Sus scrofa: one gene and its partners. The protein of the gene in region 2 purifies or fractionates together with the protein of the main gene of each other region. This does not show direct contact. Links are inferred from orthologs where the notes say so. Each region holds a gene or a part of one and is shown on either strand. Other genes may lie near its edges. The genes, in order: PPM1A, TRIM47 and FBP1.

Evidence for each region.
Region 1: the proteins of TRIM47 (region 2) and PPM1A purify together in Homo sapiens (affinity purification with western blotting; 3 studies listed by BioGRID, with this or other methods). This does not show direct contact. The link is inferred for Sus scrofa from reciprocal best matches to the Homo sapiens genes TRIM47 and PPM1A.
Region 3: the proteins of TRIM47 (region 2) and FBP1 purify together in Homo sapiens (affinity purification with western blotting; 3 studies listed by BioGRID). This does not show direct contact. The link is inferred for Sus scrofa from reciprocal best matches to the Homo sapiens genes TRIM47 and FBP1.

Annotation. Positions count from the first base shown.
Region 1 is NC_010443.5:189,277,173-189,280,818, reverse strand, and holds part of PPM1A (protein phosphatase 1A), read right to left. Parts: intron 1,644-3,646; exon of another isoform or gene 1,625-1,643; intron 1,063-1,624; coding exon 209-1,062; intron 1-208. UniProt on the Homo sapiens protein: Enzyme with a broad specificity. Negatively regulates TGF-beta signaling through dephosphorylating SMAD2 and SMAD3, resulting in their dissociation from SMAD4, nuclear export of the SMADs and termination of the TGF-beta-mediated signaling.
Region 2 is NC_010454.4:5,534,054-5,538,189, reverse strand, and holds the start of TRIM47 (tripartite motif-containing protein 47), read right to left. Parts: upstream 2,932-4,136; 5' UTR 2,854-2,931; coding exon 2,155-2,853; intron 1,151-2,154; coding exon 1,055-1,150; intron 773-1,054; coding exon 542-772; intron 365-541; coding exon 166-364; intron 1-165. UniProt on the Homo sapiens protein: E3 ubiquitin-protein ligase that mediates the ubiquitination and proteasomal degradation of CYLD.
Region 3 is NC_010452.4:27,602,067-27,605,712, reverse strand, and holds part of FBP1 (fructose-1,6-bisphosphatase 1), read right to left. Parts: intron 1,366-3,646; coding exon 1,203-1,365; intron 1-1,202. UniProt on the Homo sapiens protein: Catalyzes the hydrolysis of fructose 1,6-bisphosphate to fructose 6-phosphate in the presence of divalent cations, acting as a rate-limiting enzyme in gluconeogenesis. Plays a role in regulating glucose sensing and insulin secretion of pancreatic beta-cells.

The DNA of each region.
Region 1 (3,646 bases), on a different chromosome or scaffold from region 2:
GACTAAACATTCAGATTACAACTATTATATTTTTGGTAATTGGGTAATTTATTTCTAAGAAGTATTACTATATTATTTTCATAACGGATGAATAGTACCAAAAACTTATTCCTGAGAAGTATTGGTTCTAAGATGTTAATATACTAGGATAATAATTAAGATGACATAAAATCATTTTGCCTTAAAAAAAAAAAAAAAGTCTAGCTACCTTATACAAACAGGTGTCGACTACTTCATTGCAAACTTTCTCAAGGTCATCAGTGACTTCAAGTCTGGATCTTACAAAATCACAGAGCTCTTCATTTCCCATAACATCCCAAATACCATCACATGCAAGAATAATGAACTGATCATCTTCTTCAGATCTTTCAATATCATGGACTTCAGGCTCTGGTGAAACAAGCTGCTCGGTAGGACCTTTTCCATGGACACATTTGTAATCAAAGTCCCCAAGGGCCCTTGACACAGCCAAAGAGCCATTCACACGCTGAATCATCACAGAACCACCTGCATTCTGAATTCGTTCTTTTTCCAGCGGATTACTTGGTTTGTGATCTTGTGTGAAGAAGTGAACTTTCCTGTTCCTACAAAGTAAACCTCTCGAGTCTCCACAGTTAATGAAATAAGTATGCTGAGGAGATATTAAGACACCTACAGCTGTTGACCCACTTCTATCAGCACCATGTTTCTTCTCTGACATGACTCTCATGTGTTCATCAATTTCCAGAAAACCTGTTCTGATTCCATTCTTCACATTTTCCACAGAAGGTGCTCCTGCAGACCCTTTAAAATCCTGGTTATTGGTGATGTGATCTAACAAATGCTCACAGCAGTATTTGGCAACCTGAGAACCAGCATGCCCATCATATACAGCAAAGAATGACCATGTTTCAAGTCCACTTGGCAAACCAATCACAGCTGTATGTGCATCCTCCATTTCAACTCGCCAGCCTTGCATGCTGCTTAGCCCATATCGCAACCCATTACCCTGGCCTTGGGCGTTATGTTTTTCCATCTTTGGTTTGTCTAAAAATGCTCCCATTATGTCTTGATCCTCTAGGTCTGCAAAGGAAGAGAAACAGGAAAGTTAATAACTATCTTATAAACAAAATACATACACAACCCTTTTAAGAATGAAGGAAATAAAAAAAAAAAAAAGAAAGCTTTAAATAAGAATTCACAACTCTTGGAATAAGCAGACACTCATTATACTGTAGAACTGAAACCTGATCATTAACAAGAAAGAAATGGGGGAGAGGCTCAACAGGCATAGCTCAAAATGTCTTAACAGGTAAAGTATCTTGATAAAAGTAGTTTATCTTACACTTTCCCCAGAGAACAACCATTTAAGATAGAAAAGACTTGGCAATGGCCGTCAACTTATGAACCAAGTCAAGTGGTTAAGGATGCAATGAAAATGTGAATCTCTTAAGAGAATCTCAAAACTAATTTGTATGTGTATATTAGCCAAGAAAAGCCAAATGAATTCACAGGACATATCAAAAGCCTACTAATTTAGACATCTTAGTTTAACATTCAAGATTTCTCAAAGTTTGATTCCAAATGTCTAGTTTTATTCCTACTTATATGAACCCTCTGAAAAAGTAAAAAACAATATACTCACAACAATCAAAATTTGCATGATCCTTCAAGGCTTTGCTCATGTCAGTTCCCTTAACTGGAATCCCTTGCCTTCCTTCCCTACTTAGAAAAATAAGTACACCTATCCTTTAAAGTCTAGCTTCAATTCTACCTTTTCCATAGGTTTTTCAGCCTTTGAGAAAGCCAGTAAGTTATTATATTGCTTAAGTGGTCCAACCTCAACTTTCACATTGCAAAGCAATTATATATACATGTAATGAAGACTGTTATATGGAAATGTTAAACAATTAATCTACTGTAACCTAATCTAGTTGTAATAACATGTATCATTATTATGCTACTCCATAACCATTAGATATAAAAAGTTTTGATAAGAAGATCAAAAGGTCTAGCACAACACTATGGACAAGCTTGAAAGCTCAGCTAATCTAATCCTTTACCAATAATCAAAAGCAAAAACCCAGAGTTTCTGTCATGGCTCAGCAGTTAACGAACCCAACTAGCATCCATGAGAACATGGATTCAATCCCTGTCCTCACTCATTGGGTTAAGAATCTGGCGTTGCAATGAGCTGTGGTGTAGGTTGCAGACATGGCTTGGATCCTGCTTTGCTGTAACTGTGGTGTAGGCTGGCAGCTACTGCTCTGATTAGACCCCTAGCCTGGAAACCTCATGCTGTGTGTACATCTCTAAAAAGACAAAAAAAAAAAAAAAAAGCAAAAACCTCTGGTCTGGAATGAGCTTACACAAGGCAGGAAGATGGTCAGGATTTAGGTTGGTCTTTACTTGAGTAAGCCTAGTAATGTAGACTTGAGGGCCAAGTCATCACATGAGTCACAACTTAACGCAATCTGAAAGAAGGATAGAATGAGATTTAATGGAGGTAAAGGGGAGATAAGTAGGAGTGGGGAAAAGTACCTAAGTAAATCAGGATGCACTTAAGACACTAGGAGACTGATGACACTAGTGATGCTAAGCTCTGAGAAGAAGCTGGGAGAGAAAGAGGAAGAAGAAAAAAAACTCAGAAAGGAAACAGTTTCCTAGCAACCCCTCACCCCTTCTTTATCCTACCAGGACCAAACTATTATCCAGCAGAGAAGTCTGGCTGGCTGTGGTGTGATAAAACGGATCTCTCGCCTACTTGTCTGCCTCCTATGATAATTCCACTACTAGAGGGTAAATAATGAAAACTGGCCATGCTTCATTCCTTGTAGTGGTATTCATCAGATCACTTTTCTGACATCAAGTTGATTCACAATATGGCAAGGGTCTGTGTTTTGAGTTCCTGTGGCATAGGAGGTTAAGAACCCAATATTAGTGTTCATGAAGATGTGGGTTCAATCACTGACCTCACTCAGTGGGTTAAGGATCCAATGTTGCCACAAGCTGCAGTGTAGGTCACAGATATGACTCAGATCCAGTGTTGCTGTTGCTCTGGCATAGGCCTCAGCTGCAGCTGGCATAGGCCTCAGCTGCAGCTAAGATTCAACCCTCCTGGGAACTTCCATATGCCTTAGGTGCAGTCATTTAAAAAAACAAACAAAAAAACTAATGATACCTTAATAGCAGACAATGTTTAGGATGAATTCTAAATCATTCTGATGAGTGTTTTTATACAAGCATTACCTCAATTCACTCTCAACAACACTCTAAAGTGGGTAATAATACTATCTGCAATTTATAGATGAACTTTAATAAGACAAAAGAACATGGCCAACATCACTCAAAAGGTAAGTTTAGGAGAATAAGGACTCTAATTTAAGGCTGCCTGACTGTAACATACCATTTATATTAAGGCAATGGTCTCAATTATGGCTATACAAAAGAATTATCTATGGGCCTTTTGAAAAATGAAAATTAAAAAAATCAATTTCCACAGTAGGTGTGGAACCTAGGCATCTGTGTATCTGTGGTAAAGATTAAATGGAATGCCTAGATAGATAGTGGACAGAAGATGATTAAGCCATGGTGAGGTTAAGTCATCTGCTGAAGGTCAATGGCAAGTTGCCTCATCTCTGTACCTCAACTCCTTTAGCTAGGCTAA
Region 2 (4,136 bases):
CAGGGGCTGACTCGTGATTACAGGGTGGTGGCTCCAGGCACTGGCAGGATTTTGGGTCCCACCCTGTGCTAGGCACCGTTTCCATCCTCCACTGCTGGATGGCACCAGGCCTGGGCGCCGTGTGGGGAGTCTGGGGAGGGGTGAGTCACTTGCGGGGGCACCCACCTTCCGTGCCTGGCTTCTGCAGCCCGTCCTCGTCACTGCCCAGCCCCTGCAGCTGCTCCCACTGGCTGGTGCAGGCCGAAGCCAGCACATCTCGCACCTTCCGGACGGCCTGGGACGACTTGGTGAAGCTGAGCTCCCTCGGGGGAGCGGGCCCAGGGCCGCACCCCTCCTCCAAGGCCAGCCTGAGTGCCAGGAGCTCCTGTACCAGACAAATGCCCATTAAGGCTCTGCTGGCTACAGCTCCTCCCGGTGGGGGTGAGACAGCTCTGCCAGGAGGCTGGCACGGCCTGGGGGACCAGGCATCCACTGCCTTCTCCTCCCTCCGCTTCTGCCCAACCCCTTCTGGGCCCTCTTTGGCTCACAGAGCTGCCCTCACCTGCAGGAAGCTGACCGAGTCGGCCTCGGGGACCTGACTGAGGTTGTGGCGGGCCTGGCTGAGACGGCTGCGCTGGTCCTCCTGGCGCCGCAGGTCGCCCTGGGAATGGCCCAGCATGGTGGCCTCCCCCTCGTCGATGAAGCCCAGCACCTCTGTCTGGAACCTCTGCAGGACGGCCGCGGCCTCGGCAAACAGCCGGCTCACCCTTTCTCGCTCTGCCACGGCTGCGCTCTGCACAAGACGACAGAGGGCAGCAATGAGGGCAAAGAACCCTGCTGTCTTGGCCATTCCTCCCAGACCCCTCCTTCCCACCCTGTCCTCTTGGGGGGACGAAGGCACCAGCCCGAGCCATCCTGGGTTTATGCCAGGTCTGGGAGATGCTCGCGCTCACTGGGGCCGGGCAAGGCCGGGAGCGCGGGCGTCTTTGGTGTGGTCGGTGTACCGCAAGCGCACACTGCCGGGCGGGAGCTGGCTACGAGAGTGGCCGGGACAGGGGTTAGGACAGGATCTGACCTTGATGAGGGCCACGGTGCGCCGGGACTGTGCAATGCCGGCGCCCAGCTCATCCATGCGGTCCTCCACGGCGCTCAGGACTTTGGGCTGCTCAGCCTGCAGGTGACATCCTTAAGGAGCACAGGGTCTGGCCGAGGTCACAGCCCTGCACTGGGGTCCCAGGTCTTACCAAGGGTGGTGGTGGGGGACCCAGGAGTGGTATCTGTGCCTAGGTGGAGCTGGGAGTGGCCGCGATGTTGTACAGTACGCCAGGGGGTGCCTCAAGCCCAGGCAGGTGCCATTCCCAAAGGGGAGGGCAGGCAGGCTGGCTGTGGGGTGTCTGCCTCTCCTCTCTGACTTGTGAGCAAGTACAGGGCCATCCATGCTCCTCAATATCGCTCACATTCATTTGGGAGCTTCCCTAGGTGGGGACGAGGCAGAGACTGAGAGAGGACAGGTGGCTGCACAAGCTGGCATTCAGCTGTTCTGAGAATCCCTGTTCTCAAAGAGTTTGTGTCCCCAGTCCAGGCCTGAAAAATGGGGATTCCGGGCAAACCCCCTGGGTCTTATGAGTCACTGCTCCAGGCAGGAGAGACGGAAAATCCCAAGGCCAGAAGTGCCAAGACCCGGCTGAGGGCCAAAGGAAACTGGGGGCGGAGGTAACGAGCTGGACAGCGCCCACATGCTCTCACTGCGGGCCGCCAGGTCAGCTGGACAGAGGGGTCTGTGTGCCGGTGGGTTCGGCCCCACCTCTGCAGCCCTCCTGTCGCCTGCCCCACCCACTGAAACCCTCACCGCAGCAAATCTGAGCTGGGACCGGCATGGGCACGAGCTCTCTGCTGCTTTAAACACCCCCCCCGCCCCCGGCCGCGCCCCAGCCTCGGGACCCCAGCCTGCTTTTCCCGTCCTTTTTGGGTTCACACTGGGTTCCTCCAACCCCCCCCCCCATTCTCATCCTGAGCGAAATGTCCCACAGCGATCAGATGACTGTCCAGGCTGGAAGGGACGGCAAAGGAGGAAATTAAGACCCAGCCTGGGAAGGATGGGGGTGATGGGGCCTCGGCTCTCGAGGCGGGTCACCCGTCCCGGCCGCCCGCCCGCCCGCTGCAACCGCATCCCACCTCCTGGAGCGCGCGCTCCTGCTCCAGCGGCACAAGCTCGTGGCCTCGGTGCTCCTGGGCGGCGCAGGTCTCGCAAAGGCACACGCGGTCCGCGCGGCAGTAGCGCTCCAGCGGCCGCAGGTGGCGCGGGCACAGGCTCTCCTCCAGCCGGCGCAGCGGCGGCACCAGGCGATGTCCGCGCAGCGCGGGGCTGCGCTCGTGCGGGCCCAGATGTGCGGGACAGAAGGAGGCGAGGCAGGAGAGGCAGGAGAGCGCGGCGGGCAGGGCGGCGCCCTCGGGGCACGCGTCGCAGCGCACCGGCTCTTCGCCCTCCGGCCACGGCTCGGGCGCGCTGGGCGCCGATGGCTCCGGAGCGCTGGGCGGCGAGCTGGGCGGCGCGCTGGGCGCCGCCGGCTCGGGCGCCAGGGCTGCGGCCGGGGTCGGCGCCGGGCCTGGGCCGGGCCCCGGGCCCGAGCCCTGACGGAGCTGCAGCAGCTCGGACAGCGTGTGGTTCTTGCGGAGCTGCAGGCCGTCGGGGAAAGGCTCCTGGCACAGCGGGCAGCGGGCCGTGCCTCCCGGCCCCCCGGCGCCCCCCGCGCCGCGGTGCGGCCAGAGCGCGCTCAGGCAGGCGAGACAGAAGTTGTGGCCGCAGGGCAGCGTCACTGGCTCCCGGAGCGGCTCCAAGCAGATGGGGCAGCTGAAGGGCCAGCCGCCGTCCATGGCTCCGCGGCCGCTGGGGCACCGCCTGGGCCGCTCCCGCCTGGGAGGGACCCAGACCGTCCGCGCCGCCGCCCCGCCCCCTGGACCGCAGCCAAGGGGCCCGCCCCCCGCTCGGCCCGCCCCCGGCGCCGCGGGCCCGCCTGCCCGCCCGGGCACCCGCCCCAGCCCAGGCCGCGCGGGACGGCCTCTGGGCCTCGTCTGACCCCCGAGGGCCTCCTGGACCAAAGAGGGAGAGGGAAGAGGGCGGGACGGGGACGGGACACACTGAAAGCAGGGAAGGAGTTCACCCCTCCACGACCCCCCAAACTCCCCCACCCCGTGCCTGCCAGGGGCTCCTAAGGCGCTGGGCGACCTCCGCCCCCCGCCCCGTGTCGCGCCTGCCCCTTGCGCTCCAGACCCCTGGGCAGCACTGTTAGCAAAGTTGCTGAGCTGCTGACGGCAGAGGAAAAAAAAGAACTGCTGACGTGCGCATGTTTTTGCCCCTTAGAGACTCTGTTTACCTCAGGCGGGGAACTTGCGCTCCTCCACAGCTGAAATGGGAAGCTGGGGTCATCCTCCACGTCCCTAGTCTCATCATTCAGTTCCGGTCCCTCCCGTGGTGTGGCCTGGGCTAGGGGTGTGGGTTCCCCAGTTGGAGGCTTTGCTGAGGCTCCTCCAACCATGCACTTAAACCAGTGGGGTTTATTGTATTTAAATTACCTCAACGATGTTAAGCTAAACCCAACAGAGTGGCAACAGAATAACTAAAGTAGCGCTGGGTTGCAACCCAAAGTAGAAAACAAACACTCATGAGTTCCTGCTGATAATAAATAAATCACTGGATAAATAAATGAGGGAGAGTAGACAAATTTCCCATTCAGAGGAATTCCAAACAGATTCTGTAAATACTCCAAGGTGGAGCAGGGCTTCCCAGTCCTTAAGTGCGGGCTGTGCATAGTGACTTCCTTCCAAAGAGAGCAGAAGGGTGACTTGACAGCGGCAAAACCTGGCCAAGACGACCTCAGCCAGTGGTCGCGGTCAACACCGACAGTCATCAGTCATGTCCGCAGTAGGCACCCTGGATGTGATATGAGCTTCCTCCCCCAAACCCATAACCCCACTCTAATTACTAGTAAAACCTCAGACAAATCCCAGTGGAGAGACAGACTACACAGCCCTTGACCAGAACCCCTGGAAACTGTCAAGTTCATCAAAAACCAAACAACAAGAAACGTCTGGAGTACCTGTTGCAGCTCAGTGGGTTAAGAACCCAACTAGTATCCATGAGGATTCAGATTCAATCC
Region 3 (3,646 bases), on a different chromosome or scaffold from region 2:
TTTTTTTTCTTCTCATTCTTCTCCTTTATGTCCCCAACTCATCTCAACCAGAGAAAGAGTGTAAGCCCATAGAACTGCATGGCTCATCTCAAAAGTTTTCTTATTGGAGTTCCCGTCATGGAGCAGCGGAAATGAATCTGACTAGGAACCATGAGGTTGTGGGTTCGATCCCTGGCCTCACTCAGTGGGTTAAGGACCTGGCATTGCCATGAGCTGTGTTGTAGGTCTCAGATGCGGCTCGGATCTGGCGTTGCTGTGGCTCTGGCGTAGGCCAGTGGCAGCAGCTCCGATTCGACCCCTAGCATGGGAACCTCCATATGCCGTGGGTGCTGCCCTAAAAAGACAAGGAAAAAAAAAGTTTTTTTATTATTATATCATTGTTGTCATTGTGTAAAATCTAGATATACTCTTTCATTCACTTTTTCAATAATCATTTGCTGTTGAGTCACCACGGCGCTCCAAGTATTGTGCTAGATGCTGAGATACAAAGAAGAATATAATTCATTCTCTGCCCTCAAGAAGCAATCAGATTAATCGGTTCCAATGCATGAATCAGTGGTGGGAACTGCGAGCAGTTTATTTGTTTATTTATTTATTTATCTTTTTAGGGCCATACCCGTGGTATATGCAGGTTCCCAGGCTAGGGGTTGAATTGGAGCTGTAGCTGCTAGCCTAGCCTACGCCACAGCCACAGCAATGCAGGATCCGAGCCACATCTGCGACCTACACCACAGCTCAAGGCAATGCTGGGTCCTTAACCCACTGGGTGAGGCCAGGGATCGAAACTGCATCCTCATGGATATTCATTGGGCTTGTTACCACTGAGCTACGATGGGAACTCCAGCGAACAGTTTAGATTGGCAGGAGAGTTGGTTGTGAAGGTTGGGCATTGGATGGATGGATGGAGGTGACGCAAAAGAGGTAGTTAATGGAAGCCAGACTTTGAAGTGCTTTGAATATGACAATAAAAAGGAGTGGAGATGAGTCAGAATCTTTGAGTGTCTCCCATGTATGAGTGCACAGGAGAGCTGGTAACGACATGGACTGTGGTCGTAGCATGGACAAGAGGGCAGGCTGTCTGTGAAATGAGGATTAATGGTTCAGGCAGGATTCCTAGGAATCCAGCTTGGCTGAGTAAGCAGAGCGAGGAAGGAAAAAAACCTGCTCCATTCAACCCCTTAGTAACAGAGAAGCAGACCCACCCTTTTCTCAGGTTCTACTATTATGGCGTTTTTATCTTCTTCTGACACGAGAACGCAGGTGGCAAAAGATGACTTTAACACGTTAATAACCAGGTCATTGGAGAGGACATCCAACTTCTTCACTTGATCACCTGTCACGTTTGTGGAGCCAGCAATTCCATAGCTAGGAGGATGAAAAGCAAAAAATTATCAGCCATGACCACCAGAATAGGTAGATGTACCTAGAAACCCAGTAAACCCCATTTATTGGGATTTAGAAGAAAGGAGAGAAGACACGTGGTTTGAGAGAAATAGAATGAGAAGAACGAAATAGAAGAATCCCTCTGGATTGGCTCCTTCAGGAAGTATTGCCATTCACTGTCCAGTACCTGTCATGGTACCCAGAACACCTTTGTGGTTAAATCCAAGTTTCTCAATCTTTTTTTTTCCATTATGGTCCCGAAGGAGACTTATTTATTTTTATTTTTATTTTTGTCTTTTTGCCATTTTCTTGGGATGCTCCCGTGGCATATGGAGGTTCCCAGGCTAGGGGTCGAATCGGAGCTGTAGCCGCCGGCCTACGCCAGAGCCACAGCAACGCAGGATCCAAGCCGTGTCTGCAACCTACACCACAACTCACAGCAACGCCGGATCCTTAACCCACTGAGCAAGGCCAGGGAACGAACCCACAACCTCATGGTTCCTAGTCGGATTCGTTAACCACTGCGCCACGAGGGGAACTTCTCCAAAGACTTTTTTAGACTTTTCTTTTCTCACACACTCCTCCACAAAATTTTAACTTAATTAAAATTTTTTCTTTTTGCTTTTTAGGGCCACATCTGTGGCATATGGAGGTTCCCAGGCTGGGGGTCAAATCAGAGCTGTAGCTGCCGCCTTACACCACAGCCACAGAAATGCAGGATCCAAGCTGTATCTGCGACCCACACCCCAGCTCATGGCAACGCCAGATCCTTAACCCACCGAGTGAGGCCAGGGAGCAAACCTGCATCCTCATGGATACTAGTCAGGTTCATAACCCACTGAGCCATAATGAGAATTCTAATTTTAATACTGCATGTAGAGTATATGTCTATTTATGCACTGTATGTGCCTATGTCTTAAAAGGTACATATAGGAGTTCCCGTCATGGCTCAGTGGTTAACAAATCCGACTAGGAACCATGAGGTTGCGGGTTCGATCCCTGGCCTTGCTCAGTGGGTTAAGGATCCGGCGTTGCTGTGAGTTGTGGTGTAGGTTGCAGACGCGGCTTGGATCTGGCGTTGCTATGGCTCTGGCGTAGGCCGGCGGCTATAGCTCTGATTAGACCCCTAGCCTGGGAACCTCCATATGCCACGGGAGCAGCCCTAGAAAAGGCAAAAGACCAAAAAAAAAGAAGGTACATACATACAAAAACCAATTTTTTCCCTGTGAGTTAATGCATAATGAAAGACACAGCAAGCAAGGGAACCTGGCTAGGAGATGGGGACTAAGCCAAGGGATCTATGGTTTTATAACTGAGAAGATCCTAAAAGAAAAAGAATTATTGACAGATCCTACCACCTCGTTTTATAGAGGTGGGACCTCACTCCCAGCCACCAGCAGACTTCTCTAAACTAGAGAAGCTGTGACAAGCTCACTTTGGCTTCCAGGCCAGGCTTCTCTTGGTGGCACCTCGCAGCCTCTGGTGGGAGTCCCAGGGGTCAGAGGGAGTGCCGAAGCCTGGAGTCTTTATTTTCAAGGTACCTGCAAGTCAGTAATGGCGAGTTCCCAGAATCTCAAGTCCAAGTTTGTTAGAATGAGGCAAGAGGAGGGTTATCATAGCCTGCAGTTGAATAGGAACACTGAAAGGAGAGGAGAGGAGTTCCCATCATGGTGCAGCAGAAATGAATCTGACTAGGAACCATGAGGTTGTGGGTTCAATCCCTGGCCTCACTCAGTGGGTTAAGGATCCAGCATTTCCATGAGCTGTGGTGTAGGTCACAGACAAGGCTCGGATCTGGCGTTGCTGTGGCTGTGGTGTAGGCCGGCAGCTATAGCTCTGATTAGACCCTTAGCCTGGGAACCTCCCTATGCCATAGGTGCTAAAAAGGAGAAAAAAAAAAAGAGAGAGGAGATGTCTTAGAGGAAGGTGCTTGGAACAAGATTAGACACCGGATGTGGGAAGGGAAAGAGTCAAAGCATTGAAGATACTGCCAAACAGCTCAGAGTGGGTGATCAGGGGCACCGTGGCACCCTGGGCTGAGATGGCTGGGAGCACTGGCCCGGGAATGGATTGCCATGACATTCACGGCTTCCACTCCTGAAGATGCATTTTCTCCAGACGTAACTTGCGTGTCTCTGGCTGGACACAACTGAACCAACAGCAGAAACAGTCCTAACCCATCTGGCCTGGCTCTCTCTAAGAGGTAAATCAATTTATCATCCAGCCCATTTTCCAGCATCACCTCTTTCGGCACCGTTCCCTT